2 linked regions of the Arabidopsis thaliana genome follow. The protein of the gene in region 1 interacts with the protein of each later gene in a pairwise test. Each region holds a gene or a part of one and is shown on either strand. Other genes may lie near its edges.

Evidence for each region.
Region 2: the proteins of CIPK22 (region 1) and ERF73 interact in a two-hybrid assay, tested with the Arabidopsis thaliana proteins (2 studies listed by BioGRID).

The regions. Positions count from the first base shown.
Region 1 is NC_003071.7:16,113,215-16,117,004, reverse strand, and holds CIPK22 (CBL-interacting Serine/Threonine-kinase), read left to right. Parts: upstream 1-1,800; coding exon 1,801-3,096; downstream 3,097-3,790.
Region 2 is NC_003070.9:27,239,693-27,243,468, forward strand, and holds ERF73 (Integrase-type DNA-binding superfamily protein), read left to right. Parts: upstream 1-2,003; 5' UTR 2,004-2,211; coding exon 2,212-2,398; exon of another isoform or gene 2,399-2,449; coding exon of another isoform or gene 2,450-2,483; coding exon 2,484-3,085; 3' UTR 3,086-3,276; downstream 3,277-3,776. Other genes in the region: AT1G72350 (MADS-box transcription factor family protein), read right to left, coding at 1-255; P40 (40s ribosomal protein SA), read right to left, coding at 3,456-3,526, 3,603-3,776. UniProt on the Arabidopsis thaliana protein: Transcriptional activator involved in the hypoxic stress response. Acts as a transcriptional activator via the cis-acting element GCC box.

The sequences.
Region 1 (3,790 bases):
TAAATTAAGAGTGAGGGTGGGTGTACGGACGATGTCGATGGCTGACGTACACCATCACGGTGGTAAAGACGGTGTCTCTTTGAAGTAGATGTCTTTATTCTTGATGACGATAACAATGAGAAGATCAATATTCAATAATAAAGCAATGGTGATGTATTTGTTTTTCAAAAGAATTGATGTTTTTAAATGGATCGATATAGCACATAAATAAGTTGACTTGGCGGTTGGGCATTATATTCGATGTGATGATTCGATGGTTGGTTTTTCCGGTTGGGTATGACTCCACAATGACGCCCGGATGTCATAGTCTAAATGACTGTGTGACCGTACGATAAAATCGAGATAACTTTTGAAGTTTGGTTGGGTATTACTGCCGACTGTTAGGTGTTAATTTTCATTCAGATAAAGTCAATAAACTAAAAGGCAAATAGATAGTAAATACCGTTACGAAAGCTAACACCTACATATTGGAACACATGAATGAATGAGCAAGAGTTGTTTTCTTTATTCGTTTTACTTTGTCGAGTTTTTGCTTTTGCATATTTCCTAATTCTTTTTTTAGAGGTTTCTTGTTTTTGGTCAAAAATTTACAGGTTTATGATAATGTTTTGAACAAGTTCACGTGTAAGGATTAATTTTTTGGCTTTTTCAACAACAAAAGGGGTACTAGTATGATTTTAATCCACACACGAATGACTTGGATCCACGAATCCAACTTCAAATTAATTATAAGAAAAACTTAATTTGCCCATCATTAATCCTTAGATAACAAAATTTCCAGCTATTAAAAAGTAATTATTATATGTGGCATTGAATTTCAAACAACATTCAAATTTAAATGTTATTATTTTGTCACTCAAATTTAAAGGTTATTTATTGACTGGATAATGTTCTTGGTTTGATTGGGTTGCTACGGTTGGATGCGGTTAAAGACCAACAATTTCATCAGAATTAAGGATGGTTGATTTGTACCCACGATATAACATTCGTGTCTAAACATCTTTACATGCACATGCAATGTTGCGAGATATAGTTCACATAAAATTTGGTCCGGTTCACTTGTCTTGATTTGGTTGTACACTTCTACCTGATGAATATATATTCTTATGTTTTAAGAACCAAATCATATCCTCAGAACTAAAGTACCATCTTAACCGGTAAAGAAGCTTAAAACATCGTCATGTATACTGCTTAGCATTCTATACAAAGTAACGTCAATCCACGTTGTTTTTTTCTTTCACATTATTCAAATATTTTTATATAGACGTTCTTTTTATTTTTGATAAAGTTTTTATTTTTGTCAACGATGAACGTTTAAAAAAAAAAAATATGTCGAGTTTTCCCAGCTCCTACAAAAACAAATAAATTAAGACTTTAAATCCCACCTGGAATTAGAAGGTTTTGGTTGACCTGACAAGGCAGATGTTTGGTAACAACAACATGAACCACACATTGGGGAAAGAATCATGAAAATTCCTTGAATCGTAAATTATTTCAGGAGAAAATGACTCTATCTCTAACCTGGTTGATATATCGCAACTAATTCAAATTAGTAAAAATCGAAAATGTTATCGCATTTTGAAATTGTCTTTTGTGAAGATTGTTTCTTTCATTTATTTGTTTAATGCATTTTATAATAAAGTCAAACTATTTTAAAATCTTTGTTTAAAATAATAGCTTACTTACGTGGCAAGTTGAGGAATTTCAATAAGAAGAGGCACCGCGCGCATGTCTTTTACAATTCCTAGACTGTTTCTCTTTACTCTGTTTTTTTGCTCTGTTTTTTTTGTTTGTTTGTTAATGGCCGAAGACTCTAATTCTTCCGAATCAATCATTGTTAACGTCACCGGAGATGATAATAAGTCGGCTTTGTTCGGTAAGTACGATCTCGGTAAGCTCCTCGGTAGCGGCGCGTTTGCCAAAGTCTACCAAGCGGAGGATCTTCAAAACGGCGGCGAAAGCGTTGCGATCAAAGTCGTACAAAAAAAACGTTTGAAAGACGGTTTAACGGCGCACGTTAAGAGAGAAATATCTGTCATGCGCCGCCTCCGTCATCCTCATATCGTGCTCCTCTCCGAAGTCCTCGCCACAAAGACGAAGATCTACTTCGTCATGGAGCTAGCCAAAGGTGGTGAGCTCTTCTCAAGAGTCACCAGCAACCGTTTCACAGAGAGTCTTAGCCGGAAATATTTCCGGCAATTGATCTCCGCCGTGAGATACTGCCACGCAAGAGGAGTTTTCCACCGTGATTTGAAGCCGGAGAATCTCCTCCTCGACGAGAATCGAGATCTGAAGGTTTCAGACTTCGGTCTCAGTGCGATGAAGGAGCAGATCCACCCCGACGGAATGCTACATACGCTCTGTGGAACTCCGGCTTACGTAGCACCGGAGCTTCTTTTGAAGAAAGGCTACGACGGTTCTAAAGCTGATATTTGGTCATGCGGCGTCGTTTTGTTTCTTCTCAACGCAGGCTACTTGCCGTTTCGTGATCCAAACATCATGGGACTCTACCGGAAAATCCACAAGGCTCAATACAAGTTACCGGATTGGACATCTTCAGATCTGCGGAAACTCCTCCGCCGTCTCTTGGAGCCAAATCCGGAACTGCGAATCACCGTGGAGGAGATTCTAAAGGATCCGTGGTTCAATCATGGAGTAGATCCAAGCGAAATCATCGGAATCCAAGCCGATGATTACGATCTGGAAGAAAACGGTAAAATTCTAAACGCGTTCGATTTGATTTCTTCGGCGTCGAGCTCGAATCTCTCCGGTTTGTTTGGAAATTTCGTGACGCCGGATCATTGCGACCAGTTTGTATCCGATGAGAGTACGGCCGTTATTATGAGGAAGGTCGAGGAAGTTGCGAAGCAGTTAAATTTGAGAATCGCGAAGAAGAAGGAGAGAGCGATAAAGCTTGAAGGTCCACATGGAGTAGCTAATGTCGTCGTTAAAGTTCGCCGGCTAACAAATGAACTAGTGATGGTGGAGATGAAGAACAAGCAAAGAGACGTGGGCTTGGTTTGGGCCGATGCTCTTAGACAAAAGTTACGTCGTTTGATTAACCAACCGGTTTATAAAGTTCCTGACAAACCGTAAAACGGTTTCAACACTAAACCAACAATCCGTGCGTTTTACTTTTAGAATTTTCAACGTACTACACTCGGGATCGAGACGCATTGTGGTTAACCGGTTCGGTTTACATTGGAGCAGGGAGAGTAATGGGACGATCCGCCTCTTTGTATATAAAAATGACAAGAAGAAAGAAAAAAACAAACCGGGATTCAATTATTTTTGTTTATTTATTTTCGGAGTATAATTTAAACACAAAAATTATTTGCTTTATTCATCGGAGAGAATTTGAATAAAACTCTGATTTGAACTTTGTAGCCTTTTATGTGTGACCGTGTGTGTTTGCAAACTTGGGCCTTATTTTGCGCTAAGGGACATGCTACACCGTTTGTAATATTTATCGTTGTTGATTTTGTTTGGCAATCGTACGAAGTATTTCAGGATCTTTTATGTATGAATGTTTATTTGAGTTTGTATTAAAAACATATATATGAATGTTACAGATTAACGAATAGTTGTCACTGCTGATTACCACTTGGCAATTCCGTTAAAACATGATTGGTATATATAACCGTACAAGTCTATAAGATAGATCACAAAATTCTAGCCAAAGCATCAATGTTTTATTTGTTTTGGGGAGTTTGTGGTCCAATGCTAATTTTAGAAATACAAAAACTATAGCTTCCAACGCATACATTTGATTTGACATAGATATATTCAG
Region 2 (3,776 bases), on another chromosome or scaffold:
ACCAATCTGTGCGCCGCAGAGAACGCTTAATTCTGCCGCTTTTTTGAAAAGCCCGGATCGTCGTTTGGAAAACGTCACTTGCCTTCGGGTCTCCAGCATGATCTCCTTGATCTCTATCTTCTGTCGACCTTTGGTGGTTTTAGGTTTTTTTTGTTTAGTCTCTTTTTTTGGTTTGGCCAGCAAGTTAGGGTTTTGTAGGGGTTTTGGTTCCGTGGTTGGTAAGAAAGTGATTGTTGAAGCTTCCCCATCCTCCATATTGAAGACAAGAAGAACAAGAGATTTTTGTGAGAGATTACAAGGGTTCTTTGGGAGAAATATTCCGAATTATATTTATATTCATAGTTTTGAACCATATAAGGAATTATTGTCTCATCATAATATATGCTAATTGTGGTATTAAATGCGCGTCTCAATAAGTTAACATGATATTTGGAATGATTCCATAAACAATCAACATTAACTTTTTTTAATCTAAGTTTCGTGACATTATTTCAAAGATTTACGAGATATACTTACTCCTTTCTTTTCTTTTTGGACAAACAAGATGCTTACTCCTCTCTATTTTACATTTTTGTTATATATAAAATATAAAAAAAAACTAATGATGATGCTAATATATGTGGGTCTCATATACGAATAATATATGATCAAATCAAATATATATATATGCATATGAGCATATGGATGTTAATGTTATTGTCAAAGAAAACACTGGCCTTAGTATAGTTGAAATTACAAAGTATAGTTGCCACATGAAAGGTTCCTCGTGGCCATTGCGAATATTTAATTCCTTTAAAATTATTTTATTCTTTTCCATTTAATATATCAATTAGTCTTTAATTAATTAACCACTCCACAAAGGTTCAAAGTAAGGTTGATAGATTAGTTTAGATTTGAAAAATGGTTAGTGGAGAAAACCACGGGTTCATTAGTCAGTATTAGAGACTGCTTATGGTTTCAAATTAAAAGCTATACCCCTAAAGGTAGGATAACAACTACTATTACAAATTAATTAATTTTTGTTAAATCTATATATACATTTTTGCAGCCATTTTGTTAAATAAATCCTGTAGTTGAGATTTATTTACAATGGTTGTCACTGGATTTTAATGTTTGTTTTTGATAATTAAAAAGAAAATCTTCGAATTAAATATTTGACATTTAACAATCTTCCCAAAATCTCTCCACATTAACTACACGATTATTTACTAAAATAATACTTCTAAAATATTTAATATCATTTAATTACTACAAAATTATCATTTTTGATATTGCTTTTCTCCATGACTATAACAATTCGATTATAATCATCAAAGCGCAGAGATATAATCTGATAGCATTTAATTACTACAAAATTACAAAATATTTAGACAATGATTCATAAACATATCATAAATAAGATCAACATTAATAAAATAAATGGGTTTATTTTTACAGGACGGGTTTGGAAGGACGTTACTTAATAACATTTGTAAACTATAAAATAAAATTATTTTATAGATAAATACAATTTATAAACTTTTATATATACTAACTTTAAAAAATAAATTATTCCCGCGATATACCGCGGGTTAAAATCTAGTGTATATATCAAGTTGTAGCAAAACCAGCTGTTGGTATAGTTTTTTCATTAAAGTTGTTCCATAAAGGTTTTAACTAATCACCGTGACGACTAAACACATTGGTTAAAAGTTAAAACCCATGTCGATTTATTGACTCTTGAAAGGTGAATAAGCCAACCATTACTATAGGTATAGGTTTTTATTTTTATTTATCTTATGCCAAAAATCCAAAACGACTAGTATGACGCAGTAAACTGGGTAGATATAAGAATCATGGTCATTAAAACTCAAATATACGATTCACTTAATGTAAGATATGATTAAAGATAAGAATGGATTAACCCCCAAGTAAAGCGATAAGATCGAATATATTAAGTTCATAAACTCAGCTAAATGCAGATCATTACAGACAGTGGCGAAATCATTTAAAAAGGGATTAACCTATGATGAGGATAAAATGGTAAAATTAACAAAGCCCACTTGGCCCAATTGTCGTTCCGAAGAACACGCCTTGTCGCTCTGCGTATAAGAGTGTGCTCAGGCAAAAATGAAAGAACAAAAACACAGAGACACCTTTAAAATTGAGAAATTTTACTTTTTAGCCCAAAACTTTTAAAACTTATACTTTGAACCCTTTAGTTCTGAGAAAATGTGCGGAGGAGCTGTAATTTCCGATTACATAGCGCCGGAGAAGATTGCGAGATCATCTGGAAAGTCTTCCTGGAGAAGTAATGGCGTCTTTGACTGCTCAATCTACGATTTCGATGGAAATTTCGATGAATTAGAGTCCGATGAGCCATTTGTCTTCTCCTCTACTCACAAACATCATGCTTCAGGTGAGTTACGATTCTGTTTTCTGATGTTTTGTATGTTCATCGTTTGGTTCTATGTCTCAAAGCTTTGAACTTTATCCATGGCTAGGCTCAGCATCAGATGGGAAGAAGAAACAGAGCAGTCGGTACAAAGGAATCAGAAGAAGGCCTTGGGGAAGATGGGCGGCTGAGATACGTGATCCAATCAAAGGAGTTCGAGTTTGGCTCGGGACTTTCAACACAGCTGAAGAAGCTGCAAGAGCTTATGATCTTGAAGCTAAGAGAATCCGTGGAGCCAAAGCTAAGCTCAATTTCCCTAACGAATCCTCTGGAAAGAGGAAAGCCAAGGCTAAGACTGTGCAACAGGTAGAGGAGAATCATGAGGCTGATCTTGATGTGGCGGTGGTAAGCTCAGCGCCTAGTAGTAGCTGTCTTGATTTCTTGTGGGAGGAGAATAATCCGGACACGCTTCTGATTGATACACAATGGCTCGAAGATATCATCATGGGCGATGCGAATAAGAAACATGAACCTAATGATAGTGAAGAAGCCAACAACGTTGATGCTTCTCTGCTTTCTGAAGAGCTTCTTGCTTTTGAGAACCAGACCGAATATTTCTCGCAGATGCCTTTTACGGAGGGAAACTGTGATTCCTCAACGTCTCTGAGTAGTCTCTTTGATGGAGGCAATGACATGGGTCTATGGTCCTGAACGGTTCTATTGTACAAATGACATGAGTGTTTTAAATGAGTTCTTCTTCGACTTGTCTGTTTGCTATTTATTCTTCAAACCTTAGCCAGTGTCAAACAAAAACGGCCACTACGACTATTGTTTTGAAGATTGCGATATTTTAAGTTGTAAGAATGTAGAGAATAATGTTTGGGAAGAACAAAGCTCGATTCATATTTGTGATAAACGCAAAATATAGATTCGATTCAAACAAAAAGGTGCAAAACATCTAAGGGTCTTAAGAGAAACAAGTGAGAAGAAAAAACAGTTACGGTTCGATAACTCTTCAATCCCAAAAGTAACAAAAAAGCATGTCTATAACCATTAAACCATTGAGTAAAGGCTATCAACTTTACTCCCAACCAGCAGCTGGTGCCCCTGAGGGTGGCGCGGCAGCTTCCCATCCACCATCTGCCGGTGCAGCTAGAACAGCAAAATAAACATAACATTAGAATCAAGATCTGTTAGAATAGGGTTCAAATGGTTATCAAAAACTCACCAGCGGAATCACTCCAAGAAGCAGCAGCAGGTGCAGCAGAGATTGGTGCCTGACCTTCTCCTGGCCATGCAGCATCAGGGATCTGAGCGGTGGTCCATTGGTCTCCACCTACCATTCCATATTCTGGAGCAGGAAGTGCACCATATTCTGCCTGAGGGCCAGCTTCATCTTCAT